Macaca fascicularis: one gene and its partners. The protein of the gene in region 7 interacts with the protein of the main gene of each other region in a pairwise test. Links are inferred from orthologs where the notes say so. Each region holds a gene or a part of one and is shown on either strand. Other genes may lie near its edges. The genes, in order: NVL, PELO, BAG3, FXR1, WDR83, PPM1A and HSPB1.

Region 1 (4,750 bases), on a different chromosome or scaffold from region 7:
CAGCACTTTAGGAGGCCAAGGCAGGTGGATCACCTGAGGTCAGGAGTTTGAGATCAGCCTGGCCAACATGGCAAAATGCCATTTCTACTAAAAATACAAAAAATTAGCCGGGCATGGTGGCACATACCTGTAGTCCCAACTACTCAGGAGGCTGAGGTGTTAGAATCTCTTGAATCCAGGAGGTGAAGGTTGCAGTGAGCCAAGATTGTGCCACTGCACTCCAGCCTGGGCAACAGAGCAAGACTCCTTCTAAAAAAAAAAAGAAGAAAAGAAGGAAATTCTAACACATGCTATATGAGGGCATTAAGCTAAGAAACAAGCCACTCACAAAAGTCAAATATGGGAAGATTCCACTTATATGAGGAAGTTAGTGTAGTCAAAATCATGAAGACAGTAAGTAGAATGGCAGTTGCCAGGGGCTGGGGGGAGGGAGGAATGGGAAGTTATTTTTTAATTAGTATAGAGTTTCAGTTTTACAAGATGAAAAGAGTTCTGGAGCTAGATGGCAGTGATGCTTGCATATTATGAATGTATTAATATCACTAAACTGCACACTTTAAAATGTTTAAGATTGTAAATGTTCTTATATTTTACCACAACTAAAAAAAATAAAAATAAAACAGTACATATAGTGAAGAAGAAATGAAGTTGCAACCAAAGGGACCAATATTTTGGGTGAGAAATCTAATACTTAATTCAGTGCTAATTTTTACATTTTTAGTAGAGACAAGGTTTCACCATCTTGGCCAGGCTGGTCGTGAACTCCTGACCTCAAGTGATCTGCCCGCCTTGGCCTCCCAAAGTGCTGTGATTACAGGTGAGAGCCACCTCGCCCGGCCTCACACCCTTGTGTGTGATTCTCTTAATTCCATTTTCTCTCTTCCCCTCTGCCCCTTAATATACTGCACTTCACCTTGTCATGAGCCAAGTAGGACCTGAAATAAGAATACTCAAAACACGGAAGAAATAAACAAGAAGACAGAAACTAAAGCCCATATATATATATATATATATATATATATATATATATATATATATATTTTTTTTTTTTTTTTTTTTAGTGCTTGGTAACTATCCCTTTGTGTCTCCCTAAGTGCAGGATAAACTTCTTGGGACAAATACAAATGTTTGATAAAATCTGGGCCAAGGAGTCTTGCACTGGATATATTCAACAAATTACCTGCCGATGATAACAGCGTAAGTAAAACGAGTTCTGAAAGTAAAAAATGACTTAGTTATCCTCAGTTATAAGGATAAATCCGTCCTTTTCTTTTTCACCTAGCCCTTTTGTTGGGCCTCTAAAATGTAAGGTAACTACGTGGGAAAGCAAGCAACAGCTGGTAGTGTGTTTTTACCCTGATTTTATCACTCCAAGTATCTACCGCCGCTGGCTTTGCGAAGACTAGCTTTGTATCAGAACGAGGTGCGGCCGGAACGCCTGAGGAAAGCAAACCAACTTTCCCAGCCGACGCGTTGACAGCGTGTCCCCACGCTGCGCCGGGGTAGGAACTTCCTCCAGCCTGGTTCGCCCGGCGGGGAACCAATAAAGTTGAGCGCGTTCAAAGGGGTCCTAATCTTCCAGGGCCCACTGGGCAGGCCTGCAAAATAAGGCCCCTAGAAACTCCCTGAGGTTTGCAAGTCTTCTCCCGCTCCTCGGAATTTCCCGCCCCCCATTCGATTACTTTTATTCTGAAGGAAACGGCGCGGGCTAGGCCCCAGGAGGGGCGCTTTTCAGGTGCAACTGGCCCGGCGATCGCGGTGGGCAACCCCTACGAGGCCCCCGGTTGACTGGGAGCTGACGGTCCGAGCTGTGGCTTTGGAAGACCCAGACGATGAAGCCTAGACCCGCCCGGTTCGTAGATAATAAACTCAAGCAACGAGTCATCCAGGTGTGTATTCTGCACCGCTCGGTCTCGCCAAGGGCCCCGATCACTGCCCCAGGGTGCCACTCCCCTTTTTTTCGGGTGGCGTCCACGTGGAACTCAACTAGTCTTCTTTTCTCCAGTCTGGGTCTGGGCGTGCGTCTGTTCCTCCTTCGTTGGTGGTGCCGGGGCCTTCCCTACCCACGTTGGTGCGGAGTCTCAGCAGAAACCGGGGACAGTGGGAGGGTGCAGCTTGGTGGGGCTGCCGAGGATGTCTGGTCGTCTTCAGCGCAGATCATTCAGTAGAGTGGAGTTAGCCTTTGAATTTTAACCTCTTTGACTTGTGAAGTTAGTACAGGAATGGTCTTCAAACGCTCGCATTGTAAGAGGTCCTTGAAAAGGGGTGGCATAAATAATACGTTAATTTCCGCCGTCAAGGAACTTACACACTAAAACGAGATAACACGGTCTGGCAACAGTAACAGGCACTTTGCCTACGGTTTTCTCATTTTCATGACCATCAGTAAAAAGCAGTGTGTGGCAAATACCTTAGAATGTAAACAAGCAGTCTGAGTTAAAAGGCGGGAGAGAATTTTCTTCACTTAGGAATTGGTGAGCTACACATTCTCCTTGTTTTTCTTTCACTTCACCAGCCCCTAAACAATCTCCTTTTCGGACCCATCTTTTCCTACCAACTTGTAAATGTTGGAAGTGCTCTGAGCCACTGTTCTCTTCCCTTCCCTTCCTCCTCTTTCCTCATACACCTTTCTTATCTATCCATACTTCCTATGTGATCTCATTTAGTCTAATAACCTTTGAATAGTTCTATGTATTCTATTATCTATATATTTATTTCATTTTATTTTTATTTTTCTGAGACACAGTCTCGCTCTGTTGCCCAGGCTAGAGTTCAGTGGCTGTTCATGGGCACAATCGTAGCTCACTGCACCCCCGGCCTCCCTGGCTCAAGCAATCCTCCCTCCTCAGCCTCCCCAGTAGCTGGGACTACAGGTGTGCACCACCACATCTGGCCAATTTATTATTATTATTATTATTATTATTATTATTATTATTATCATTTGTAGAGACGGGGTTCCACTATGTTACTCTGGTTGGTCTCTAACTCCTGGGCTCAAACGATCAGTCCTCAGCCTCCGAAAGTGCTGGGATTACCGGTGCAAGCTGCTGTCCTGTCCTCTATATATTTATGACGGCTACATTTGTATCTGCTGTCCAGATTTTATCTTGAAGTACAGATTGATATATCCAGCTGCCTAGTTAGCGTATCTCCAAATTAAAATGGCCAAGTGGAACTTGTGATTTTTTCTTCCTTCAAACCTGCCCTTTCTTAGTGTTCTGTATCTCGGTAAGTGATACCACCGTTTGTCCAGTTGTTAAGGCCAAAAGCCTTAAGGGTCATTCTGAGTCTTTCTTTCATTTCCTGTATACCATCCATCAACAGCATGGTTTGCTTTACTTTCAAAATATATTCCAAGTACTTCTTACTGTCTTTCCCTATAACCATCTTAGTCCAAACCATCATCTCTACCTTATACTATTGCAATAGCCTCCTAACTGGTCTTTCTGAGTCTGCTTTTACCTAAAGCCTATTCCCCACAGAGCAGCCAGAGACATCTAATTTTTTTTTTTTTTTTTTCGTTCACTGCAACCTCTGTCTCCTGGGTTCAAGCGATTCTTCTGCCTCAGCCTCCCAAGTAGGTGGGATTACAAGTGCATGCCATCACGCCTGGCTAATTTTTCTATTTTTAGTAGAGACGAGGTTTCACCATGTTGGCCAGGCTGGTCTTGAATTCCTGACCTCAGTTGATCTGCCCGCCTCAGCCTTCCAAAGTGCTGGGATTACAGGCATGGCCAAGACATCCTTTTAAAGGGAAAAATTAGGCTAGGGGAGGGATAGCATTAGGAGAAATACCTAATGTAAATGACGGGTTGATGGGTGCAGGAAACCACCATGGCCCTTGTATACCTGTGTAGCAACCTGCATGTTCTGCACATGTATCCCAGAACTTAAAGTATAATTTAAAAAAAAAAAAAAAAAGGGAAAAATCAGAGCTTGCCATAGCCCTGCTCAAAACCTTTCAGTGGAGTCACAGACATCTAGAGTAAAACCCAGTCAGAAAAGCCCTGCATATTCTGGCCTCTGTTGTCCTAGTTTACTTTTCGTCTCCTGTTCCAACCACACAGACCTTCTCAAACATGCCAAGCACAGGACCTTTGTTCTCGTTGTTCACTCACTCTGAATTACTCTTCCTCTGGATGTTCCCGCATCCCACAACTTGCTCCTTCACTTTATTCAAGTTTCTGAGCAGTGACTCCTAATTACTGCATCTAGTGGCCTCTTCTCTGTCCTCACACTTGACTGCTTTTCAACTTTTGACATTATCAGTTTTCCTCTGTAGCTTTCACTTCGGTTCATTATAAAAGTACAAATTGAATATCCCTTATTCTAAATGCTTAAGACCAAAAAATGTTTCAGATTGATTTTTTTCAGGGTTTGGAATGTTTGTGTATACATAATGAGATATTTGGGGATGGGACCCAAGTTAAACATGAAGTTTACTTATGTTTCATATACACCTTATACACATGGCCTGAAGATAGTCTTACACAAGATTTTAAATAAATTTTCACTTAGCTATATATTTAATTTAATTTAATTTTAATTTTTTATTTTTGAGACTGGGTCTCACTCTGTCACCCAGGCTGGAGTGCAGTGGTGTAAACAGTGCTCACTACCACCTCAAACTCATGGGGTCAAGTGATTCTCCCACCTCAGCCTCCCATGTAGCTGGGACCACAGGTATGCACTATCACGTCTGGCTAATTTTTAAATTTTTCATAGAGATGAGATCTTACCATCTTGGCCA
Region 2 (3,007 bases), on a different chromosome or scaffold from region 7:
GCTGGGAGCCCAGACAGAACGTGATCAGTAGTTCTCAGAAACTGCGTCTAAATACCAGCTCCAACAGGCTTGTAGCGTCCGAGTGCGGATAAGGCAAGTGCAAAAACGACAATAGTTTGGGCCTTTGGGGCCAAATCTGCACTTCTGAGAGCTACTTTTACTGCTAAGTTTTGAAATTTAATTTACCCAGAAGGAAGCGTTTCAGAGTGGCAGCCGCAGCCAGGTAAAACTAATATTTGCACTCACACACTCCCCGGATTCTTCACAGACAGGGATGGAAGAGAAAACTTAGGAAGTTCAAGTTTGGCATTAAACTAAAGGACTCGCCGCCACTCTGCACCTTCTTTAGGGAGTTCATTCGTCCCGAGCGCCTCACAGCTTAGTGCGCCTGCGCGTGCGCGGACTGCGGCCCCGCCTCCCCCTTGGGGACGTGGACGTGCGTCGGGTCGCGGGACGCGGGCTGCGCATGCGCCTTCATTACGTCAGCCCGCTGCCTCGGGCTGCCAGCGGGAACCGCGGAGTGGACGATTTTCGCTGCTGTGTTTCCCGTGCCTGTTAGGCGCAGCGAGCCCGCAGACTGAGCGAGGAAAGGATAGAGGAAGTGCTCCCCTAGGCTGCAAGAGTCGAAGCAAGAGTATTTCCTTCCCACCAGGCAAGTGCCCATAGAAACCGGGCCCCGCCCCCTTCCCGGCCTGCGTTCCCGTCTCCTCTACGGGGCGGAGGTGAGGACCTCCTTGGTTCCTGTAGTTCTGTCAGTGAGCCCCTTCCTTGGTCATGAAGCTCGTGAGGAAGAACATCGAGAAGGATAATGCAGGCCAGGTGACCCTGGTCCCCGAGGAGCCTGAGGACATGTGGCACACTTACAACCTCGTGCAAGTGGGCGACAGCCTGCGCGCCTCCACCATCCGCAAGGTACAGACCGAGTCCTCCACGGGCAGCGTGGGCAGCAATCGGGTCCGCACTACCCTCACTCTCTGCGTGGAGGCCATCGACTTCGACTCTCAAGCCTGCCAGCTGCGGGTTAAGGGGACCAACATCCAAGAGAATGAGTATGTCAAGATGGGGGCTTACCACACTATCGAGCTGGAGCCCAACCGCCAGTTCACCCTAGCCAAGAAACAGTGGGATAGTGTGGTTCTGGAGCGCATCGAGCAGGCCTGTGACCCAGCCTGGAGCGCTGATGTGGCAGCTGTGGTCATGCAGGAAGGCCTCGCCCATATCTGCTTAGTCACTCCCAGCATGACCCTCACTCGGGCCAAGGTGGAGGTGAACATCCCTAGGAAAAGGAAAGGCAATTGCTCTCAGCATGACCGGGCCTTGGAGCGGTTCTATGAACAGGTGGTCCAGGCTATCCAGCGCCACATACACTTTGATGTTGTAAAGTGCATCCTGGTGGCCAGCCCAGGATTTGTGAGGGAGCAGTTCTGCGACTACATGTTTCAACAAGCAGTGAAGACCGACAACAAACTGCTCCTGGAAAACCGGTCCAAATTTCTTCAGGTAAAACAATCTTACCCAGGGATAGTTAAGAATGGGCAGAGGGATTGGTATAAACTACTCCTAAAGTTTTAGAACTGGGAAAAATAAGAGGAGAAAGGCTTTACTTACCTGGAATTTTCATGAGATAATGAAATTAAAAAAAAGAGAATGTTAGATATCTAGCAAATTTGTGGAGTCAACTTTGCTGAAACATATGAAGCCTTATTAGCGCTTTTGGCTTTAAGCCTTTGTGGGCTGATCAATGGGTGTTCTGAGAGATTCTTTTGCCTAACTTTTATAATTGTGATTCTAGGTACATGCCTCCTCCGGACACAAGTACTCCCTGAAAGAGGCCCTTTGTGACCCTACTGTAGCTAGCCGCCTTTCAGACACTAAAGCTGCTGGGGAAGTCAAGGCCTTGGATGACTTCTATAAAATGTTACAACATGAACCGGATCGAGCTTTCTATGGACTCAAGCAGGTGGAGAAGGCCAATGAAGCCATGGCAATTGACACATTGCTCATCAGCGATGAGCTCTTCAGGCATCAGGATGTAGCCACACGGAGCCGGTATGTGAGGCTGGTGGACAGTGTGAAAGAGAATGCAGGCACCGTTAGGATATTCTCTAGTCTTCACGTTTCTGGGGAACAGCTCAGCCAGTTGACTGGGGTAGCTGCCATTCTCCGCTTCCCTGTTCCCGAACTCTCTGACCAAGAGGATGATTCCAGTTCTGAAGAGGATTAATGATTGAAACTTAAAACTGAGACAATCTTGTGTCTCCTAAACTGTTACAGTACATTTCTCAGCTTCCTTGTGACAGAAAGCTGCAAGAATGGCACTTTTTTATTCATACAGGGATTTCTTATGTATTTGGCTACACTAGATATTTTGTGATTGCCAGAACATGTATTTAAACAATAAACTAAAAGGAAATAATCTCCACGTACTACCATCTTTATTAAATTGGGTAATTTTTATAGGAATTACGAGTTATCTGTAGTACTTGGAAACAGAAAATGTGTGTATTTAATAACGATGCCTATATAGTATGTTGTTTGGGGTAAATTGTAAAATTTCACACTGCATGCTTTGAAACAGTTTTCCTTAGAAAAAGCTTTTGCTAACTTATCCTCAGTTTGCATTATTTCTTTATTTTAATTCTGCATGGTGTTCTTGCATTGCATTTAATGATCCCTTTTCTCCCCACCTCCACACACTACATATTTTTTAGATTTAAATAGTTTTACTATTTTAAATGATTGCCGTACAATTAGTAGACTTGAAGACAAGTTTTAAATATTTTTCTTCAAAGGCTTGTTGAACCAATCATGTTAAAAGGAAATTCTTGGTTTTGTTTTGTTGTTGTTAGCATTAGTCATATTTGATTTAGAGGGTAACTTAATCAGTTATTTTTAGATTTTTAGAGCTTTGATCTGCTAGGGATTGTCAAAATAATCTTGAGGCATCTTTATTTTTAAAATGAGATTGAAGTATGTGATTTGCTTGTTATGTGGCTAATTAGTGGCA
Region 3 (4,033 bases), on a different chromosome or scaffold from region 7:
ATTGTCCCCTAAAAGCTCATAGATTCTTAGCCTTTGGCATTTGTTTGTTGTGCAGAGAGCTGACGCTGTCAGGAAAGATCACTCCCCTTCTTAAGAGTTGCCCTACACAGATATATGCAAGTGACACATGTCAGTAGCTGCCCTCCTGGGAAAGGACCCTCAGCGCTCGGGGACTGTTAGGACTTCTGTTGCGCAGCCCCAGCTTGCTGAGAGATGGCACTGCCCAGTGAGTGACTGGCCAGCCTTGTTGTCTGAAATAAGATCTTTCCTGCGGTACATCTGGAACTTGGCCTTCTCAAGGGTCTGAAAATAGCCAGGCCACTGAAGGGAGAACTTCAAGAGAGGGCATAAGAGAAGGACTCCAACTGCTCCTTGCCCAAGCAGGCTCTGTTGTGTTGAAGAAAAAGTTCTTCAGTGATACTTGTTAAAGCACAGTCATGAAGATTTATTCAGGGCCATCAAGATAGGCACAGGGACCATGGCAGTGGGGTCTTGCAATTGCGGGGAGAGACTGGGTGCAACTTCACGTACAGCACAGGCGCGTGGGAACTGATAGGGAGCAGTGTGGGGGTCAGTGGATGGAACATTAGAAGAGGAAGCATCAGGGCTAAGGGCGTTTCTGGCTACGCTGACCAAACAGGATTCTTGCTGAAGACAGGCCAGGGTGATTAGACAGCACCTGGGGATGATGGAGGCTGAGGAAGCTGATCAGATAGTGAGGCTGGGGAGGGGCCTTCTGGCTAAACTGTCTTAACAGTGTCTTTTGCTAAAACTTGACTTTACAAGGAAGTGCACAGATGGGCCTAGGAGAAGCTTCAGAAGCCTAAGGTTTGGCCAAGCAGAGAATCTTTGTCAGTTGGCATCATTAGGCGGCACAGTTAACCCTGGGTGCTCCTCTCCCCCTGCGCTGCCTCTGCATCCCTGTCCTTCCCCGTCCTGCAGATTGTTCTTTTTTTTTTTTTTTTGAGACGGAGTCTCGCTCTGTTGCCCAGGCTGGAGTGCAGTGGCGCTATCTCGGCTCACTGCAAGCTCCGCCTCCCGGGTTTACGCCATTCTCCTGCCTCAGCCTCCCGAGTAGCTGGGACTACAGGCGCCCGCCACCTCGCCCGGCTAATTTTTTTGTATTTTTAGTAGAGACGGGGTTTCTTTTTTTTTTTTTTATTTTTTTTTTTTTGAGACGGAGTCTCGCTCTGTCACCCAGGCTGGAGTGCAGTGGCCGGATCTCAGCTCACTGCAAGCTCCGCCTCCCGGCTTCACGCCATTCTCCTGCCTCAGCCTCCTGAGTAGCTGGGACTACAGGCGCCTGCCACCTCGCCCGGCTAAGTTTTTGTATTTTTAGTAGAGACGGGGTTTCACTGTGTTAGCCAGGATGGTCTCGATCTCCTGACCTCGTGATCCGCCCGTCTCGGCCTCCCAAAGTGCTGGGATTACAGGCTTGAGCCACCGCGCCCGGCCGAGATGGGGTTTCATTGTGTTAGCCAGGATGGTCTCGATCTCCTGACCTCGTGATCCGCCCGTCTCGGCCTCCCAAAGTGCTGGGATTACAGGCTTGAGCCACCGCGCCCGGCCGAGACGGGGTTTCATTGTGTTAGCCAGGATGGTCTCGATCTCCTGACCTCGTGATCCGCCCGTCTCGGCCTCCCAAAGTGCTGGGATTACAGGCTTGAGCCACCGCGCCCGGCCCCTGCAGATTGTTCTAACAGTACTCCTGAGGAGGCAGCCCTTACTCCCCAGCCCACTTCTCTGTAAAGATTCCCAAACTGTGTCCTGTGTTTGGGCCCAGCACAAGCTCTGTGTTGCTGGGAAACGCGAGGGCCTTTTTAGAAACAGAGATGCTTGCTGTAATGTAGAGGTTGGAGCTGACCCCTGCTCCTGGAGCTTACCTTCTGATCCAGGTCTCTGAAAATGCGGGCGTGGGCGGCTCTCCTACACCCACTGCTGCCCTCGTTCACCCAGAAAAGAAACCTGTCTTACCAGTTTGGGGAATTGGAACCTTTCCTGTGCTTAACAGATACTTTTGGCTTTCTCCTGATGTCCCTAGTTCGTAAACTGTTGGCCAGACAGCAGGCTCTATAGGGGTAGAGGTTTGGAGGGTGCAGGGGCTGGGAGCTGGCTGACGCTGTGAGGCCCAAGTCACTCAGGAAGATCACAGTGCCAAGTGCCACAGTTTTCTCCGCCAGGAGGGTTCACTTCCCGGTTTCTAACGAGCCTGTGTTTCTCCACTTTTTATTTCAGGAGACTCCATCCTCTGCCAATGGCCCTTCCCGGGAGAGCTCTAGACTGCCACCTGCTAGGGAAGGCCACCCTGTGTATCCCCAGCTCCGACCAGGCTACATTCCCATTCCCGTGCTCCATGAAGGCGCTGAGAACCGGCAGGCGCACCCTTTCCATGCCTATCCCCAGCCTGGGATGCAGCGATTCCGAACTGAGGCGGCACCAGCGGCTCCTCAGAGGTCCCAGTCACCTCTGCGGGGTATGCCAGAAACCACTCAGCCAGATAAACAGTGTGGACAGGTGGCAGCAGTGGCGGCAGCCCAGCCCCCAGCCTCTCACGGACCTGAGGTAAGGAGAGGCCAGGCTCACGGGCCTGCTGGGGAGTGAGCCGCTGTGCTTCCCAGGCCGGGCCCAGTCCCCGAGGACACTGCCCTGGGCCAGGCACCTGTTCACATGCAGGGCATCTAGGCCTGGCCTGCAGCATCAGAGGTCACCCAGCAAAGACAGGGTGATAGCCCCATGTCATCCCCCAGCATCTCATAGGGCTGTTCTTCAGTGGGGCAGGGCAGGAATCACATGGCTTCTTTTTGTAGTTAAGGAACAGCTCGGAAGGGCACACTACAGCCTGCCTGCTCCACATGCACGCAGGTGGAGGGAGCAGAGCTGGGACCGGAAGCCTGACCTGCCTTCTGGCTCCTAATTTCCGTGCTCCTCATTCACACTGGGCTTTCTATTCAGAAACACAGAGATAGCTGTGTACTGTTTTGTTCAGTTCAATGCTTATGGATCAGTCTTAACCACTGGTGGAGCTATATTGATAGGAAAATGAGACCCCATGCCTGTCCTCACTGTGCACCACAGTTTAAAAAGAAATAAGGAGTCAGCAAGGCAACTGCTTTAAGACGGCATTTTAATCCTGAAGCCAAACATCTCAGGGATATGTCAATGGATTCTGTGCATTAATAGCTAAAAAATATTTAACCTGGTTCTTAGCTGAGATTTGAGGCATTCCTAGTAGGATTCCTGAGCAGTAAGCCCTCTCATTTTCCTGTCTGTAGATCATCCCCGTGTGTGTGTCGGCGTTGTTCCTGGGCACAAACTCCCATGTCCTATCTGCACCCAGAGTCACACTTGCCTCTCAGCTCCCTCTGAATCTGTTCAGCTTCACACCTGCTTGAGAGTGAAAAGTTACAGTTAATGTGGAATAGCAGAGGCTTTTTTCTTTTCTTAAAGAGCTAGTACCTGGCTGAGGCAGGTGGATTACTTGAGACCAGGAATTTGAGACTAGCCTGGCCAACATGGTGAAACCTCGTCTCTACAAAATATGCAAAAATTAGCCAGGTGGGGTAGCACATTCCTGTAATCCCAGCTACTCAGGAGGTTGAGGCAGAGAATTGTTTGAACCCAGGAGGCAGAGGTTGCAGTGAGCTGAGATCGCACCACTGCACTCCAGCCTAGGTGATAGAGTGAGACTGTCTCAGAAAAACAAAAACAACAACAACAAAAAAAGAAGTAATACCTATATTTATAATGGTTTTGCTGCAAGAAATCAAAGTGACATGTAAATCTGAGACATCTTCACAAATTTAAGCTAACAAGGCACTTAGAAGGGGAAATGCTCTCAATTTCAAGGTGAATAGAAGGTGGCCCAGCAGGGAAAGGGACTTGAGCTGCCTTGGGCCACACGGGATGCTTGCAGCTAGCTCCCAGTTGCTCAGCCGAGTTCTCTGTAGATTGGCAAAGAAAGGGTAATGAGGACAACACATCCCCTGTATGAGCGCTTCCTGTGTGCTGGCCTGGGGCTGAGGCACATGCCCAG
Region 4 (4,033 bases), on a different chromosome or scaffold from region 7:
GCACATGCCACTATGCCTGGCTAATTTTTGTACTTTGCATAGTGATGGTGTTTCTCCATGTCGTCCAGGCTGGGCTCGAACTCTGGAGCCAAAGTGATCTGCCCACCTCAGCCTCCCAGAGTACTGGGATTACGGGCGTGAGCTACCACGCATGGCCTTATTAGACATTTTAATAAGAGTTTAAACATAGCAAATCCAACTTTTTCATATTTTCCAGATTTTGATGATATATGTATCTACAATGAATGCAGTTGTCTAAATGTAACTAACTGCTCACTGTTACACATGAACCTAGGACATACCAATCTTACAAATACTGCTAGCAGATTTAAAATATATGTCTAATAAATTCTAGCTTATTCTGGTTATTCTTACAGTTAGATTATCAGAATGCAGTCCTTGAATACTTTGGAACTTTTAGTGGCATCTCATTCTATTGAGGAAGGGATAGCCATCTCTGCTGTAATTATAGTATTTTTAGTCAATTGAATTGACTAATCTACTGAATATTTTTGCATTTCATTGTCTTTTTTTTTTCTAGTTAACCTTTGTATGCACATCTGCTTTTGACATTTCCACTTACGAAGTACATTTCGGCATACAAACATTTCTTAAAATTTTATCTTCAATTTTTATTTTACCTTGTTTTTTTTGGAACAGAGTCTCGTTCTGTCACCCAGGCTTGAGTGTAGTGGCACGATCTTTCCTCACTGCAGTCTCAACTTCCCAGGCTCCAGCAATCCTCCCACCTTAACCTTCCATGTAGGTGGGACCACAGGTGTGCTCTACCACACCTGGCTAATTTATTTTGTATTTTTGGTAGAGACGGGGTTTCATCATGTTGTCCAGGCTGATCTTGAATTCCTGAGCTCAAGCAGTCCACCCGCTTGGCCCTTCAAAGTGCTGGGATTACAGGTGTAGGCCACTGCGCCTGACCACAAACATCTTAAAAGATGAAAGAACACTGTCTAATACCCTTTTAGCAAACCAGGATGATCTGGTTTCTGGTTGGAGGATTTTGCAGTCTCAGTTGAGTCATTAACTGGATGAGAATGCACATCATCTTTCCCTCTTCTTAGAAATACATTGTTTGAGAATATTCATCTAAGATGTCACCATCTGAAGACTTCATAGTCTGAGACTTTGCTTTGTAAGATGATTTCACATTTATCAGTAGAACCTAGTGTGCTGCTGTCTCTTTGCATCTGTTGTCTGATACCTCTACTAATTAGAAAGGCCTTCCTCTGTAAATTTTTCTTCTCTTCGCAATTATGAGTGAAAAATTCATAATTATCAACTGGTCAACGGTAGCTAAAAGCAGACTACAAGGATGGTGTTTTTGATCTTTTGAACTGTTTTGAAAGAGATGTGATACCTTGGGCTATGCAGTAAGGAAACTGTATGAACATTAACAGTTTATTTCACTGTTGCATCCTCTAGGTGATGCCATCATTCCTCTGTTCCATGTTAGTCTTTATTTAAAGCATAGCTGAGAATAACTGATGAATGTTGATGAAATAGTAAAGTGTTTCAAGACATAGGAAAAATAAGATCACTAGATTCTCCTTACATTTATAAAAGGGCCCAGTGGATACATATAATAGAGTATAAGGGTGAGTTTTATTCTAGTGTTAAACTTTCTTATTTTTGGAATATGTCTAAGGAAGAATATAAGTCATGAGATATTGATCCCTTTGAATAGTTAGATCTGTTTATAAAAGAAATGGAAAAACTAAAATTGAGTTTAATGGACCCTGATTAGTAAATTGGACTTACTGGTTTTTCTCATAGATTTTTTTCTAATCATGGTGTACAGTAAAGTTCATTAGTAGGTTTTGGTTTATTCATTTCCAGTTCCAGTATTCCTACCACTTCCAAGATTACTTTAAAATCATCCTGATAGAAGCTTCAGGCTAAAAAAGTCTTTGTTTTTAGTTGTTTGCATTTATCTCCCAGAAGTCTGTTAATATCCACTGATAGGTTTCCTTGGTCATCTCTGCAAAGGCATTCAATCTTGGTTTTTATTGGTTCTTAGTAGTTTCTTCTCAGAAACAACTTTTCTACCTTTCTCTATATTGAAAATATAATGCATTAAAGAAGCTCTGCTGTATCATAAGAAATAACTCTAATCCCAAGTAAAAGCTTCTGTGACCTATTGCATTAATAAAACTGATATTTATAGACATGAAGAATATAAGACTTGTTTTTTTGTGGATAGTTTTTGTTTTGTTTTGGAGATGGAGTTTCGCTCTAGTTGCCTAGGCTGGAGTGCGATGGCATGATCTCTGCTCACTGCATCCTCTGCCCCCTGGATGTGATTACCCTGCCTCAAGTGATTCTCCTGCCTCAGCCTCCCGAGTAGATGAGATTATGGGCACCTGCCACCATGCCCAGCTAATTTTTGTATTTTAGTAGAGACAGGGTTTACCATGTTGGTCAGCCTGGTCTCGAACTCCTGACCTCAAGTTATCCACCCACCTTGGCCTCCCAAAGTGCTGGGATTTCAGGCGTAAGCCACTGTGCCCAGCCTGGATAGGAGTTTTGTAATATACTTAATGTATTCTGCTAGATGAACTGAATGTGTGTAATTTTTTTTTTCAGTTAAACAATTTTTTTTTAGTTCATTTGATTTAGGTTCTTCAGCAAGGGATCTAAATGTCATATCCTCGATGGAATTTAAAAATTAGGTTAATCACTTTCTGAGAACAAGTTTTAATATTAACAATGTTGACAGAAACAGGAAGACCTGTGTTTTACATTATTTAAAACTCCTTTGTAAGAGTATTTCTTTAAAATAATACTTATGTTTAGTAAACCTCATGAATGTGGAATTAATTTCCAAGAAGCTAAATTGCCCAAAAAAGTGTAGTTTTATTTTTAAGTAGTAAATTTAAATGTACATATCACTTTCATTAAATTGCATTTAATATACCAGTTTAAATAGCATTTTTGATTCTTAAGTTTAATGGGATTGGGCATTAATAAAAAGTCATTATTTACAGCATTGAAATCTTTTGGGATGAATGGATATAGGCATTTTTTTTTCTTCTCAGGTATATTCAAGAGCAAATGACCAAGAGCCATGTGGATGGTGGTTGGCTAAAGTTCGGATGATGAAAGGAGAAGTAAGTAATTTTCACACTTGCTTTGTGACTAGTTTCTAAGGAATTACCTCAGTGTTTGGTTTTTGTAAATGTTATTTCAACTGTTAGTTTTATTTCTGAAAGCCTACCTGAGAAATAGTTGATCACACATTTCCATTAGCATTTATTTCTGTTTGTGTTCTGTATTGGCAAACACCAAAGCTGCTCTCCAGAGGTACACCTCAAGCATGTAAGGACCACCAAGGTTCATGCTTGTAAGAACCTATAATCTAGTTTAGGCAAATCAGATTTATGTAACTAAGCTGTGCTTAGTGTTTATGCCACATGGGGGAGGGTCCATTGGTTAAGCTGAGCAAGGTAATTAGAACTTCATTTAAACTTCATTATTTTTGTTCAGATGGGATTTTTAAAGTATTTTGATGTCTTTTAGTTTTATGTCATTGAATATGCTGCTTGTGACGCTACTTACAATGAAATAGTCACATTCGAACGACTTCGGCCTGTCAATCAAAATAAAACTGTCAAAAAAAATACCTTCTTTAAATGCACAGTGGATGTTCCTGAGGATTTGAGAGAGGCGTGAGTAATTTTATTTACTATTGAATTGTTCTGTGAATTAAGAAGATTTTTCAGTCCTACAAAACATTTTCCCTAATGCCCAATCAAAACCTTGTGATGGAAAATCATCTTAATGAACAGAGGTTTTAGTGGGGGATGTCAAAATGAAACACTGACTTTGTATTATAACTCCTCTGAATTTAATCTGTTGAGGTCTTACACATGAATTAATTTCTCTCTAGGTGTGCTAATGAAAATGCACATAAAGATTTTAAGAAAGCAGTAGGAGCATGCAGAATTTTTTACCATCCAGAAACAACACAGCTGATGATACTGGTAAGATAATACCATATTATAAGGTAGCTTATTGA
Region 5 (4,466 bases), on a different chromosome or scaffold from region 7:
TCCATCCAGCTGGAGGCACTGAGACGGCCTCATTCAGGGAAGTCCAGGATGGCAGCTGAGGGCAGCAGGTTGAGCAGCCAAAGCCCAGGCCTAGTGGATAAACAGGGTCCAAAATGTGACCTTTCTAGGCTGATATCACCACGGGGGCGTCATGGGCTGAGGATTCTGCAGATAGGACATCACCACGGCAGAGATGGACAGCCTGAGACAGGAGAGAGGTGTCAGTCCAGGATGGGCAGGCTGGAGTCCCCCCACCCCTTACTCAAGAGTCACTCGTTCTCTAGGCCAAGTCTCACATGAAGCTACTCATCATTTGCTTCGTGTCCTCCGAGCTCCGAGAGTTGGCAAAGCTGATGAAGGAGCAGTAGACAGCGACCCAAGCACACCACTTCAGCTGGGGAAAGGTAGGTGGGTGGGCAGGTCAGTGAAAGGCACAACAATGAGTCCCGAAGCCACCTTTCCAGACACCAGATCTTGCCCACTGATTCCATCTGATGCAGCTGGGACCTTGCCCCCCGGAACTCCTCAGTCCCACCTGCTCATGGCATACTCCAGATACATGGTTTCTAGTCCTACTGCCTGGACTGCGTCTCTCAGGGCCAAGACTCTGACATCCCACATGCTTAAGACCCTGCCCCTTTCCACGAGTCCCCTCCAAGTTGCTTCAAAGCCTGGCCCCACCCGCAGACCAATCTGCCACATCCCCGCCCTGACCCGAATTCTTGACTTCACCAAAGACTGGGGCTTTCTTGGCCCAGCGTCATCCCAGCCCCACTCCCGGCCGATCTCAGGTCCTGCCTCATCAGCAATGACAAGACGCCCGGCTTCATTCCAAACCCGCCCCCGGGCCTCGTTCTCAGGTCTAACTACACCCACAGAAGCTCAATCCCGCCCACCTTAAGCATGAGGCCGCACATGCTGAAGATCATGCCCAGCAGGTTCATGTAGTCCGGCGTCGGGTCGTCCAAGGCCGGGTTACATTCGCTGGGCGGGGGCTTGTACCTGCGACAGGCTCGAGGGTCAGGGGCGCTCAGGTCCTGTCCCCGGGATAGACAGCCGCTTCCCAGGGCCCCGATCCACACCCCCAACCCGAACCCGTGGCCACGACGCTGGCGTCCTCACCTAAGCACTTTGTTCGGCCTCCGTGGGTCCGACATATTGTTAGTAGACATAGCGAGTCGAAGGCCAGGTCACGCCTCTTCCGCTGCAGAAATTGCAGCTTCCGGCGTGCAAGCTGAGGGCGGATTTTAGAGTCACACCCGAGGCCCTCACATTTCCGTTCCTCATGACAGAGGCTTGGACTCCTCCTACCCAGAGATCGGAAATTTAGGAGAATCCAGAAGCCTTCCTTGCAAAGGGGAAATGGGGAAAAGAACCTGAAATCGGGCTTCAATAGTTCCAAGAAGAGCACCCAAATGCCAAAATGATGAACCCGGAAGTGATAAACAGGAAGTAGTTCAGGAAGAACAATAATAAGGTTACACCCAAGCGTGGGTTTCGAAGGCGCGGAATCTTCCATACAGACCGATTTAAGGCGGCGAGGAAGGGGTCCTGGGACTATGGCTTTCCCTGAGCCAAAGCCGCGGCCTCCGGAGCTGCCGCAGAAACGGTTGAAGACGCTGGACTGCGGGCAAGGGGCGGTGCGAGCCGTACGATTTAATGGTGAGCGCCTTAGTCTTCATTCCGGGTCCTCCTCCCGCCTCCTGAGGTCGGCGGCCCAGTAACCCCCGCCTGGTGTTCCCCAGTGGATGGCAATTACTGCCTGACGTGCGGCAGTGACAAGACCCTGAAGCTATGGAACCCGCTTCGGGGGACGCTGCTGCGGACGTACAGCGGCCACGGCTACGAGGTGCTGGATGCGGCCGGGTGAGCCGGGGGCCAGGCTGGGATGGGAGCGCTGAGGCTGGGATCCGAGGTCGATGCTGATCTTCTTCCTCCTTTACTCCAGCTCCTTTGACAACAGCAGTCTCTGCTCCGGCGGCGGGGACAAGGCGGTGGTTCTGTGGGATGTGGCATCAGGACAGGTCGTGCGCAAATTCCGGGGCCATGCAGGGGTGAGTGAAAGCCTGGAGACCCTCATTCGAGCGGAGGGGACCCGTATTAGCGCACAGGTGGTGATGAAGCCACCCCCATTACACCGTAAGGATCCCTTCCCCAGATGACGATCCCCCGCTCCGCATGCCAGGCTAGGCAGTCACCAACCCCTGTCCTTGCTGTTCCCCCAAAACCTTTCACCTCCCCTTCTAACCTTTGCCCTTGCTTTAACCGACACTGGGAACCCTGCCTTTATCCCAGTCCTCCAAAGTCCAGCCTCCTCTGAGTGGCAATAACTTTCTCAGAAGGTGAACACGGTGCAGTTTAATGAAGAGGCCACAGTTATCCTGTCCGGTGAGTCTGGGACCTACGCAGGGGGGTCCAGGATGCTGCCCTTCCCCTCCAAACCTGACCTCACCATCATGCTGGCCTCACAGGCTCTATTGATTCCAGTATCCGCTGTTGGGATTGCCGCTCACGGAGGCCTGAGCCAGTGCAAACGCTGGATGAGGCCAGAGATGGCGTGTCCAGTGTGAAGGTGTCAGACCACGAGGTCCTGACAGGGTGAGTGGAGCCAGGACCTGGTCTCAGCCGAGGTGCTACTGGGAATCATAGCTGCCCCCATGCTCAGATTAAAACCTACTCTCAGCTGGGCACAGTGGCACACAGCTGTAGTCTCAGCTACTTGGGAGGCTGAGGTGGAAGGATCACTTGAGCCCAAGAGTTTGAGGGACCACTGCACTCCATGCTGGGTGAAAGTGAGACTGTCTAAAAAATAAAATAATAATCAAGCCGGGCATGGTGGCTCACACCTATAATCCCAGCACTTTTGGAGGCCGAGGAGGGCAGATCACTTGAGGTCAGGAGTTTGAGACCAGCCTGGCCAACATAGTGAAATCCCGTCTCTACTAAAAATAAAAAAATTAGCCGGGTGTGGTGATGGGAGCCTGTAATCCCAGCTACTTGGGAGGCTGAGGCAGGAGAATCACCTGAACCCGGGAGTTGGAGGTTGCAATGAGCCGAGATTGTGCCACTGCACTCCAGCCTGGGCAACAGAGTGAGACTCCGTCTCAAAAAAAAAAAAAAGATAAAATGAAACGATTTAAAAAGTTAAATAAAAATAGACCGGGTGTGGTGGCTCACGCCTGTAATCCCAGCACTTCGGGAGGCTGAGGCAGGCGGATCCTGAGGTCAGGAGATCGAGACCATTCTGGCTAACACGCTGAAACCCTGTCTCTACTAAAAATTCAAAAAATTAGCTGGGCGTAGTGGCAGGTGCCTGTAGTCCCAGCTACTTGGGATGCTGAGGCAGGAGAATGGCGTGAACCCGGGAGGCAGAGCTTGCTGTGAGCCAAGACTGCACCGCTACACTCCAGCCTGGGCATCAGAGCGAGACTTCGTCTCAAAAATAAATAAACAAAACAAATTTAAAAAAATAATCATAAGGAAATTTTTTTTTTTTTTTTTTTTTTTTTTTTTTTTTTTTTTAAGATAGAGTCTGTGTCGCCAGGCTGGAGTACAGCGACGTGATCTTGGCTCACTGCAACCTCCAGCTCCCGGGTTCAGGCAATTATCCTGCCTCAGCCTCCTGAGTAGCTGGGACTACAGGCATACGCCACCACGCCTGGCTAATTTTTGTATTTTTAGTAGAGACGGGGTTTCACCATGTTGGCCAGGAGGGTCTCCATCTCTTGACCTTGTGATCCGCCTGCCTCGGCCTCCTAAAGTGCTGGAATTACAGGCGTGAGCCACCGCGCCCGGCCGAAATAATATATTTTCTATTCATTAAGTGGAAGTGAAGAGATCATCATAAAGATCTTCACATTGAGAAGGCGGAGGAGAAGGAGGAGGAGGGGTTGGTCTTGGTGTCTCAGGGCTGATAGAGGCAGAAGAAAATCCACATATAAGTGGACTGCTTCAGTTCAAACCCTGTTGTTCATGGATCAACTGTACTTTGAAAAGTGCTCCCTCTGGTGGCTGTGGGGGTGCAGGGAGACCAGAGCAGTCTAGATGATGGTGCTGGGTAGTGGGGAAAGTGGTGGGACTGAGTACTGAGGAGGAGGAGCTGGAGAATACAGAAGGGGGAATTGGGCCAGGTGGGGTGGCTCATGTCTGTAATCCCAGCACTTTGGGAGGCTAAGGTGGGCGGATCACCTGAGGTTGGGAGTTCAACACCAGCCTGACCAACATGGAGAAACCCTGTCTCTACTAAAAATACAAAATTAGCAGGGCATGGTGGTGCATGCCTGTAATCCCCTCTACTCAGGAGGCTGAGGCAGGAGAATCGTTTGAACCTGGGAGGCAGAGGTTGCAGTGAGCCGAGATCAGGCCATTGCACTCCAGCCTGGGCAACAAGAGCAAAACTCTCTCAAAAAAAAAAAAAAAAAGAAAGAAAAGGGAGAATCGGAAGGTCGCCAAGGGTTTGGAAAAGG
Region 6 (4,819 bases), on a different chromosome or scaffold from region 7:
CAAATGGTTGCCACATGAGCTTTTCTAGTTCAGAATGTTAATGAGTCCACCAGCACGCTACTCATGCTGTTACTTGTCTGGACTACTAAGGATTCCAAAAAGGTAGCGTTTCAAAGATCTTTGATCTAATTTCTTTTTTTGTGGGGGTGGGGAGGTATGTGGAGAATTAGGAAATGTATCCTCAGATGATACTGAGACCAAATGCATAGTGAATTTTATTTTTATTTTGTATATCTGGAAATGATCCATGTTCATCTTCTAAGAAATTCTAACCCCAAAGATATTAAGTAATTTTTGCGTTCCTTGACGATTTGGTTTGCCAGTGACTGGCGATTATACATTTGATCGTGTTGTTAGGTTCTAGGTCTAAAAGTAAAGGAAACAGAACCTTCCCCAAAGTCATGTTGAGAAAATTGGAGATGGCTTTTTACAACTTTAAAAGCAGTTAAATGCTTGCTGAATGCCAGAAAGAATGAATAGTTTGCTTTTGATCTAAGAGTTGGGGCAACAAAATGGTTTAGGAGATAGAAAGTAGTAAGGTGCAAATTGCTGTAGTAAGCTCCTCAAGTAAAACAGAGAGGCCTTCAACATAAATTTACCTTTTTTACTGGCCAGAACTCAATTTGGCCAGTAGAAGAACCTGCCTTCTACAGTGAAGTCTTTGTTTTGTGTGTGCATCAGAACATCTTTTAAAAATACGGACTTTTCTTATAACTTCTTCTCCTGTGAATGTGTAGGTCAAATTTGTGAACCGGTTAAGCCGCTGACAAGAGAGGGAAGGGCACCCCAGCCAATGGGAACTCATGCTGGTGATGTACTGCTCCTAGGCTGCGATTCATTGGCTGCCTAGGGTTTGTCATTCTATACCCGGCGTCTGCAAGCAGCGTGGGTCGGGTTTTCTAGCTAGCTGAACTGGATTTTGGCAGCCGGCACGTGCAGTTTCTATTAACTTTAGCTCATCTCTACCTCTTAACAGAAGCAGCTGTTATGTTTCTGATTATTCTCCTGATTTTGAAAAATCCTATTTCCTTCACCTACCTCATTGGAGGTCATTGGAGGTCCCCTGGGACAGAATCACGTGATTATCTAACATGTGCAAATAAATACAATGTGGAATCCCCTGAGCTACAGAGGGAAAACCTGCCAGAAAGAGCATGTGCCCCGTGCGTGAATCAGCTGCACTCGCACGTGGGTGGGCGGTGGTAGTGTGCGTGTCTCTGCCCTTCGGGACGCGAGGTGTGTGGCCGTGGCACCTGCTTGGGCTTCATGGGGTCACTGGGAGAGGAAGGCTCTGGAGGCGTGGGACTCTGGGGTAGGGGGGTCTGGCAGCTGCCTGGGATCCATCATGGGTTCGAAGGGCAGCGGCCAGACCGCGACGGCGCCCAAGAAGGGTGGACAGCTCCGGGTCTGTGATCGGGGCTGCGTGTACACCATCTTCGCAGGGAGTGGGGTTTGTATCTGCAGGCCGGTAGAAAGCCAGGGCTCGGGGCGCGGACGCCGTAGGGGTAGCTTCCAAGTCCCTACTTGGCCAAGGGCCGGGCATGGAGGGGCTGTCCATCTACTGGGCACCGAATAGTCGCACATTCTGTCCAGTCCCTGACGCCAGAACGTGAAGGCCCGAGTCCTCGCTGCTATCCGGACCCCGCTCCCTTCGGCTTCAGCCTGGTGCTCCAGGCCGCAAGGCGACGGCGGCGGCAGCAGCGGAGAAAGAGGCTGGGTAGGGCAGTGACGTCATCTGTGGCGGCCCCTCCCCCGCCCGCCAGCCTTCGCCGCAGTTCCTGCCCAACGACATCCGGGTCTCTGTAGCTGCTCGCCGCGCCGCAGCTGTAGCGGCGGTGGAGCCAGCGGGGCGGGGCGAGCGGAGGGTGGGGGAGGGGCGACGCGGTCGTGAGCGCGCCTGCGCGGGGCCGCGCTAGAGGCGGCGGCGGCGGCGGCGGCGGCGCTAGGGACGGGAGCGCGCGCGGGAGCTAGAGAGCAGTGGTCTCGGCGCCGGTCCGGCCCGCAGCTTCGGGTCCTCAGGCGGCTGCTGCTCCGGAACGGGTGGTTGGGGAGGGGGGGTGGGGGGACGCTAGACAGGTGAGGCGCGAAAGCGATGAATCCTCGGCTCTTCCTCCTCCTCCTCCGGGACCCGCTCTCTGCCTCCCTCTCCAACGCCCGGATGATCTGAGCCGCGAGGGCGCCGAGAGCCGGGGGCCCGGACGCAACCCGGCTCCTCCCCTCCTCCGCCCCCTCCCCGGCCTGACCTGGCCCGCCGCTGCCGCGGTGACCCCCTCCCCGGCTGCCGCCGCCGCCGCCGCGGTGACCCCCTCCCCGGCTGCCGCCGCCGCCGCCTCGGCCGACCAGGGACCTGCCCGCCTGCGGCTGCTCCGGGTAAGTGCGGCGCTTGGGCCGACGGCGGGCGGGCGGGCGGTGCGGGCCTGCGCGGCGGCGGCGGCGGGCAGGCCTGGGGCCTGTAAACAAGCCGGGCGTCTGCCCGGGCGCTCCCGGGAGGAGACGCGACAACTCCACCCCCTGGCCGGCCTCCTCCCCCGAGCCGGGCGGCGGGCGGCGAGGGGTTAACGCTCGGCGAGGGCGGTGGCGGTGAGGCGGGGGCGGGGTGTTTGTGGCGGCGGCGCGGGGAGGGGGCGCGACCCCCTGGCCGTCCGCGGCCGGGAGGGGTGTTTGTGGCGGCGAAGCGGGCGAGGGCCGCGGGCCAGCCTGGCCGGAGAGCGGCCTGCGGAACTTTTCCCGAGCGGGGAGGGGGCGTCCTCCCGCCCCTACCCTCCCGGGCGCGCCGCCCCTGCTGTCCTGGGCTTTGGCCCCTGGGAGGGAGGCGGGGAGATTTCTTTTGAATCGGGCTTAGCCTCGAAAAACCTAATTCTGTAGAAATTGCTTAAGGGTTTACAGGGGGCAGGGCTGAGAAGCTCCTTCAGAACTCAAGTCAGTGAGTGATGCCTCCAGTTCATTCATTATTAAGGCATCGAAAACATCCATTGAAGTAAATTCCGATTTCTCATCCTTTTAACTACGTAAATTGGTTAAAACTTCTTGATGTTAGAGCTTGGTTGAGGTATGGTTCTGTTCTGCTTGTAGATTTTAATTAAACTTGGATCCTTTTCTTGAAAGACAGCTGGCTGTGGAGAGCCTTCTACCAACTGCAGTTTTAGATACGTTTTGAAAATTTCATCACCTGAGGTATTTTTCTTCTCTCTCCTCAAACACCACATGGTACTTATAAATCCACAAAGGTCATGCTTCAGTTGTCCAAGCCATGGGGTCTGTGTGCTACCCCCGCCTCACCCCGAGTTTCCTGCTAATTGGAATAATGAGCTGAATGTGTTTCAAGAAGTGGTTGGAAAAGTGTGAGAGAGAGGTGTCATTTTCTCAAAGGAAATGATTTTGACATTATTGAGATAAATTAGAAATTTTTAAACATTGTTGTGTAAAACAGTCTTTTCAAACTTGCACGTTGAGGTTTTAAACACAACCACTTTACTGAGTGTGTTTCGCTCCGAAAAGTGGAGGGATTTGTTGAAACACCACTCTGCTGAGACTTAGGGTTCCAGAGCACTCAGGAATTTAGCAGAGTTTGGTCCCCAACTCTCTTTGAAATACTTCACTTTTATACTTTTATCTTGCTACATATTGGGCCTTTTCCAAAGATTGTTTTTCTGTAACTCCTTATTTTACAAATGAGAAAATTGAAAATAAGGAGATTTTCTGTTCTTAGATGTTACTTTTATTGACTTAATGCTTTCTTTACCAATAAATAATTTGAAGCACAAAGTAACATTTCCAAGTGTTACAGTTTTGTTCTTGTTATGTGTAACTTACATGTATCTGATTAAACTTTCAGTCATTTAAGGATGATTACTTTTAACCTGGAAGTTTACAGCAGTACCACATTATTGAAACTATAATGAACTTCCTGCACCACATGGCAGTTGCTTAAGACATTTTAATTTGATATCATAAAACATTTTTAGATCAGTGAAGTAATTACATTATGGGAAAGGTATATTAAGACTGATAATGTTTGAAGTTAACTACCTCCATTATATTTGAGAAATAATAGTCATCAAATTCCTTTTTGTTTGTATCTTTTTATGTATTTTGTATACATATTGTATATTTTTACATGATGGACTGAGGTATATGACCGGTTGAAGGGAACAGTGCAGTAGGAGACAAGGATTGTTTAGTCATGGCTATGCTCCAAAATATCTGTGTCCATGGACAAGTCCTTTAACCTTTTGAGTTTCAGCTTCCAAATCAGTAAAGCCAGTTGGGCAGATTAGATTATCATATGTACTGTCCAGTTATTACATTTTTAAATTTTCTTATCAATATTGTGTGACTAGTCACCATACCTTTGCCAAATAAATACCTGTTATGTGTGAGGCACTTAGATGTTTCGGTGTTCTAAGGCTGGATTTCTTTCTCGGTTCTGTTTTATTTAACAAATTCTAAGTTGGTGATGGTTCTTTAGAAAAGCTATTCTTGTAAGCTATTCTTGATTTTTCTTTTGGGATTGGGATGTATAGAGAAACTCTTGAGAGGGAGAAGGATGGAGATTTCATGGGAGACAGAGGGTGGTTGAGACTACAGGTTTGAACAAGCACAGGACCCTTGGTAGTCTGATGTGAAGGATATTATAAAAATACATTATGAAGGTTTTTTCTGTCACTTCAAGCTGGGTCTTGTTAAACCTTTGAAAATTCTGTAATACCTCATTTGTTTTTGAAAGAAATCTATGGCAACATCATTTTGTCATGTGGTAAATATTGCTAAGCAGTTACTAAATACCTATAGTCTTTGAGTTTGTTCAGATTATACCTAG
Region 7 (3,782 bases):
CTGGCTTCAAAGTCCACACTCCTAACAACCGTACCAGATTACCAGATTGTTTTTTTTTTTTTTTTTTGAGATGGAGTCTCGCTCTGCCGCCCAGGCTGGAGTGCAGTGGTGAGATCTCAGTTCACCGCAACCTCTGCCTTCGGGGTTCAAGCAATTCTCCTGCCTCAGCCTCCCCAGCAGCTGCGATTACAGGCGCCCGCCACCACACCCAGCTAATTTTTGTAATTTTAGTAGAGATGAGGTTTCACCATGTTGGCCAGGCTGGTCCCAAACTCCTGACCTCTGGTGATCCTCCCACCTCAGCCTCCCAAAGTGCTGGGATTACAGGGGTGAGCCACCACACCCAGCCCAGACTGCTTTATCTTTGTATTTGTATTTATTCATTTACTTATTTTGAGACAGGGTTTTGCTCTGCAGCCCATGCTGAAGTGCAGTGGTGCAATCCAGGTTCACCAAAGCCTCTACTCACCAGCGTTCAAAGGAGCTCACCAGCGTTCAAAGGAGCCTGCTGCCTCAGCCTCCAGAGTAGCTGAGGCCACAGGCGTGCACACCATGCCCAGCTAATTTTAAAAAAAATTTTGGTAGAGGTAGGGTCTCACTATGTTGCCCAGAATGGTCTCAAACTCCTGGCCTCAGGGGACCCTTCTGCCTTGGCCTCCCAAAGTGCTGAGATTACAGGCATGAGCCACGCACCCGGCCCCTTTTTAAAAATTTTTTTAACAGGTCCTTGCTCTGTTGCCTAGGCTAGAGTGCAGTGGTAAGATCATAACGCACTGCAGCCTCGAACTCCTGGGCTCAAGCACCAGCCTGCTTTATATCACATTCCATCTCACACGCTTGTGATTCCAATCCTGCCGCTGCCACTTCTCAGTTGTATGCCCCAACCCAACCTGCCTGGCTCTGTCCTCCTTAACAAAAGAACGGCCCTGGCCACGGGTCACAGTCGGCAGCTCTTAAGCACCAGGGCCGGCGAGTGCCCTGCCGTGGCACGGCTCCAGCTTCGAGCTCTCGAACTCATTTGTTTTCCTTAACGAGAGAAGGTTCCAGATGAGGGCAGAACCCTCTTCGCCCCGCCCACGGCCCCTGAACGCTAGGGGAGGAGTGCATGGGGAGGGGCGGCCCTCAAACGGGTCATTGCCATTAATAGAGACCTCAAACACCGCCTGCTAAAAATACCCGACTGGAACCGCATAAAAGCGCAGCCGGGCCCAGCGCCCCGCACTTCTCCGAGCAGACGTCCAGAGCAGAGTCAGCCAGCATGACCGAGCGCCGCGTCCCCTTCTCGCTCCTGCGGGGCCCCAGCTGGGATCCCTTCCGCGACTGGTACCCGCACAGCCGCCTCTTCGACCAGGCCTTCGGGCTGCCCCGGCTGCCCGAGGAGTGGTCGCAGTGGTTGGGCGGCAGCAGCTGGCCAGGCTACGTGCGCCCCCTGCCCCCCGCCGCGATCGAGAGCCCCGCGGTGGCCGCGCCCGCCTACAGCCGCGCGCTCAGCCGGCAGCTCAGCAGCGGGGTCTCGGAGATCCGGCACACGGCGGACCGCTGGCGCGTGTCCCTGGATGTCAACCACTTCGCCCCGGACGAGCTAACGGTTAAGACCAAGGATGGCGTGGTGGAGATCACCGGTGAGTCCCCCTGGTCCTGCAGAGGAGGGGAGGAGGCTAGCGGGGCGGGCAGGGCCGGGGGAGGGGTGCGGTTGAAACGGGGGTCCCGGGGGCCTGGGGAGTTAAATGTTAGCCCAGCACCGGGAAAAACAGGATCCCTGATTCCTCTGCTCAGGAATTGGGAGTGCAGGTCGCTTCTAAGGGCGCTTTGTGCTCTGTAATCCCAGCGCTTTGGAAGGCCGAGACGGGAGGATGGCTTGAGGCCAGGAGTTCAAGACTAGCCCGGGCAACATAGCGAGACGCCCCCCAACACTACAAAAAAATTAAAAAGCAACCAAAAAAATTTTTTAAAAGACCATCAATGAAGAGAGAAAATGCACCTTTCCACAGAGCCCCCTCCCCACCCACAACCCCATCCCCAGATAAGCGGGTTCCCTGTTTCTAGCCGCGGAGAGGGCGTGCGTGCGGCTCCAAGTGCGCCTGGGCACTGCTCACTCCCCAGCTCGGCGCCCTGCTCCATTCCTCCCAAAACTCTGAATCGAGGAACTTTCCGGAAGTTTCTGAGAACCCGGACAGGCGGGCACGCCCCCACCCCCAACCCCCTCCGTTAATCCCTGCCGGCCTGCAGTCCTAGCTGCTTCCAAGCAGGAGGTGGGGCCTCTGGCCTGGCGGGGCCGAGAGGCGGTCCCCTCCCCCATAGTCTGATTTCCCTCTTTCCCCAAAAGGCAAGCACGAGGAGCGGCAGGACGAGCATGGCTACATCTCCCGGTGCTTCACGCGGAAATACACGTGAGTCCTGGCGCCAGATCGGGGTGGGTGGGGGGCGGGGGGCGGGGGTCAGGGAGGAGGGCACAGGGACCCACCCAGTGTGTAATGTAACGCTCGCCTTCTCTCTCTGCACGTCCAGGCTGCCCCCCGGTGTGGACCCCACCCAGGTCTCCTCCTCCCTGTCCCCTGAGGGCACACTGACCGTGGAAGCCCCCATGCCCAAGCTAGCCACACAGTCCAACGAGATCACCATCCCGGTCACTTTCGAGTCGCGGGCCCAGCTTGGGGGCCCAGAAGCTGCAAAATCTGACGAGACTGCCGCCAAGTAAAGCCTTAGCCCGGATGCCCACCCCTGCTGCCGCCACTGGCTGCGCCCCCCCACCCTCAACCTGTGTGTTCTTTTGATACGTTTATCTTGTTTTTCTCAAATAAAGTTCCAAGTAACCCACCTGTCACTGGCTCAGACCCTGGTATTTGTGGAAGGAAGCCTCAGGCACCTGCCATTTGCTGGCTTCCACAAGTCACCTTTACTCAGGGTGTACTGTGTGCCCAGCCCCGTGCTGGGCCATGTTGGTACACTGATGTAGGTTGCTGGACACGGGCTGACTCACATAAAGAGAGGTCGTAGGGCCGGGCGCAGTGGCTCATACCTGTAATCCCAGCCCTTTGGGGGGTTGAGGCAGGAGAAGTGCTTGAAGTCAAGAATTCTAGACCAGTCTGGACAATGTAGTGAGACTCTGTCTCTAAAAAATAAAAATTAGCCAGGGTGTTACTGCATGCCTGTAGTCCCAGCTACTCAGGAGGCTGAGGCAGGAGGATCGCTTGAGCCCAGGAGTTGAAGGGTGCAGTGAGCTAAGATCGTGCCATTGCACTCCAGCCTGGACAACAGAGCAAGATCCTGTTTCAAAAAAACAAAACAATCAAAAGCTCAGAAAGAGTGAGACCCTGTCTTTAAAAAAAAAAAAAAAAAAAAAAAAAAAAAAAAAAAAAAGGTCATGATTGCAAGGTTATGATTGCAATTAAAGCTGTAAAGTCGGGAAGGAGGAGGAACTAGGAGAAGCACCTGAGGCTTGAGTTCCCAGGAGCACCTAGGCTGGGTCCCAGGTGAAGGGGCACAGAGGTAATTGAACTTCCCCGCAGAGCTGATGGGAGGATTACTATGTCAAAAGCTTGGCGTCAACTTGAGCACACCCCAAGGGCACCGCAGTGGACCTGGCAAGCTTTGAGATATCTGTCTCTCACTGCCACACCCCCTGAGGCCAGGGCATCCCTGTTGGCAGTCACAAGGGAACTGGCAGGCAGAACTGGGGTGAGAACGGAGCCCACAGAGTCGGGGTGGGGAGACTGGGCAGTGCCCTGGCCGACCCACAGGCTCAGACCTGTGCTGCTGGCTGGGCCAGCAGTTCTTGTTGC

Evidence for each region.
Region 1: the proteins of HSPB1 (region 7) and NVL interact in binary tests that used the Homo sapiens proteins (3 or more experiments, as listed by UniProt). The link is inferred for Macaca fascicularis from reciprocal best matches to the Homo sapiens genes HSPB1 and NVL.
Region 2: the proteins of HSPB1 (region 7) and PELO interact in binary tests that used the Homo sapiens proteins (3 or more experiments, as listed by UniProt). The link is inferred for Macaca fascicularis from reciprocal best matches to the Homo sapiens genes HSPB1 and PELO.
Region 3: the proteins of HSPB1 (region 7) and BAG3 interact in binary tests that used the Homo sapiens proteins (3 or more experiments, as listed by UniProt). The link is inferred for Macaca fascicularis from reciprocal best matches to the Homo sapiens genes HSPB1 and BAG3.
Region 4: the proteins of HSPB1 (region 7) and FXR1 interact in a two-hybrid assay, tested with the Homo sapiens proteins (2 studies listed by BioGRID and IntAct). The link is inferred for Macaca fascicularis from reciprocal best matches to the Homo sapiens genes HSPB1 and FXR1.
Region 5: the proteins of HSPB1 (region 7) and WDR83 interact in binary tests that used the Homo sapiens proteins (3 or more experiments, as listed by UniProt). The link is inferred for Macaca fascicularis from reciprocal best matches to the Homo sapiens genes HSPB1 and WDR83.
Region 6: the proteins of HSPB1 (region 7) and PPM1A interact in a two-hybrid assay, tested with the Homo sapiens proteins (2 studies listed by BioGRID and IntAct). The link is inferred for Macaca fascicularis from reciprocal best matches to the Homo sapiens genes HSPB1 and PPM1A.

The regions. Positions count from the first base shown.
Region 1 is NC_088375.1:82,137,871-82,142,620, reverse strand, and holds the start of NVL (nuclear valosin-containing protein-like), read left to right. Parts: upstream 1-1,782; 5' UTR 1,783-1,832; coding exon 1,833-1,889; intron 1,890-4,750. UniProt on the Homo sapiens protein: Participates in the assembly of the telomerase holoenzyme and effecting of telomerase activity via its interaction with TERT. Involved in both early and late stages of the pre-rRNA processing pathways.
Region 2 is NC_088380.1:58,213,359-58,216,365, forward strand, and holds the end of PELO (protein pelota homolog), read left to right. Parts: 5' UTR 1-774; coding exon 775-1,500; intron 1,501-1,792; coding exon 1,793-2,224; 3' UTR 2,225-2,413; downstream 2,414-3,007. UniProt on the Homo sapiens protein: Component of the Pelota-HBS1L complex, a complex that recognizes stalled ribosomes and triggers the No-Go Decay (NGD) pathway.
Region 3 is NC_088383.1:128,681,268-128,685,300, forward strand, and holds part of BAG3 (BAG family molecular chaperone regulator 3), read left to right. Parts: intron 1-2,235; coding exon 2,236-2,562; intron 2,563-4,033. UniProt on the Homo sapiens protein: Co-chaperone and adapter protein that connects different classes of molecular chaperones including heat shock proteins 70 (HSP70s), e.g. HSPA1A/HSP70 or HSPA8/HSC70, and small heat shock proteins (sHSPs), e.g. HSPB8.
Region 4 is NC_088376.1:92,786,623-92,790,655, forward strand, and holds part of FXR1 (RNA-binding protein FXR1), read left to right. Parts: intron 1-3,053; coding exon 3,054-3,125; intron 3,126-3,534; coding exon 3,535-3,683; intron 3,684-3,904; coding exon 3,905-3,998; intron 3,999-4,033. UniProt on the Homo sapiens protein: mRNA-binding protein that acts as a regulator of mRNAs translation and/or stability, and which is required for various processes, such as neurogenesis, muscle development and spermatogenesis.
Region 5 is NC_088393.1:13,054,432-13,058,897, forward strand, and holds the start of WDR83 (WD repeat domain-containing protein 83), read left to right. Parts: upstream 1-1,492; 5' UTR 1,493-1,559; coding exon 1,560-1,662; intron 1,663-1,745; coding exon 1,746-1,866; intron 1,867-1,948; coding exon 1,949-2,054; intron 2,055-2,339; coding exon 2,340-2,388; intron 2,389-2,471; coding exon 2,472-2,598; intron 2,599-4,466. Other genes in the region: WDR83OS (PAT complex subunit Asterix), read right to left, coding at 136-202, 297-394, 897-1,002, 1,123-1,172. UniProt on the Homo sapiens protein: Molecular scaffold protein for various multimeric protein complexes. Acts as a module in the assembly of a multicomponent scaffold for the ERK pathway, linking ERK responses to specific agonists.
Region 6 is NC_088381.1:128,107,599-128,112,417, forward strand, and holds the start of PPM1A (protein phosphatase 1A), read left to right. Parts: upstream 1-1,914; 5' UTR 1,915-2,370; intron 2,371-3,109; exon of another isoform or gene 3,110-3,174; intron 3,175-4,819. UniProt on the Homo sapiens protein: Enzyme with a broad specificity. Negatively regulates TGF-beta signaling through dephosphorylating SMAD2 and SMAD3, resulting in their dissociation from SMAD4, nuclear export of the SMADs and termination of the TGF-beta-mediated signaling.
Region 7 is NC_088377.1:51,430,354-51,434,135, reverse strand, and holds HSPB1 (heat shock protein beta-1), read left to right. Parts: upstream 1-1,218; 5' UTR 1,219-1,258; coding exon 1,259-1,622; intron 1,623-2,326; coding exon 2,327-2,390; intron 2,391-2,508; coding exon 2,509-2,698; 3' UTR 2,699-2,821; downstream 2,822-3,782. UniProt on the Homo sapiens protein: Small heat shock protein which functions as a molecular chaperone probably maintaining denatured proteins in a folding-competent state. Plays a role in stress resistance and actin organization.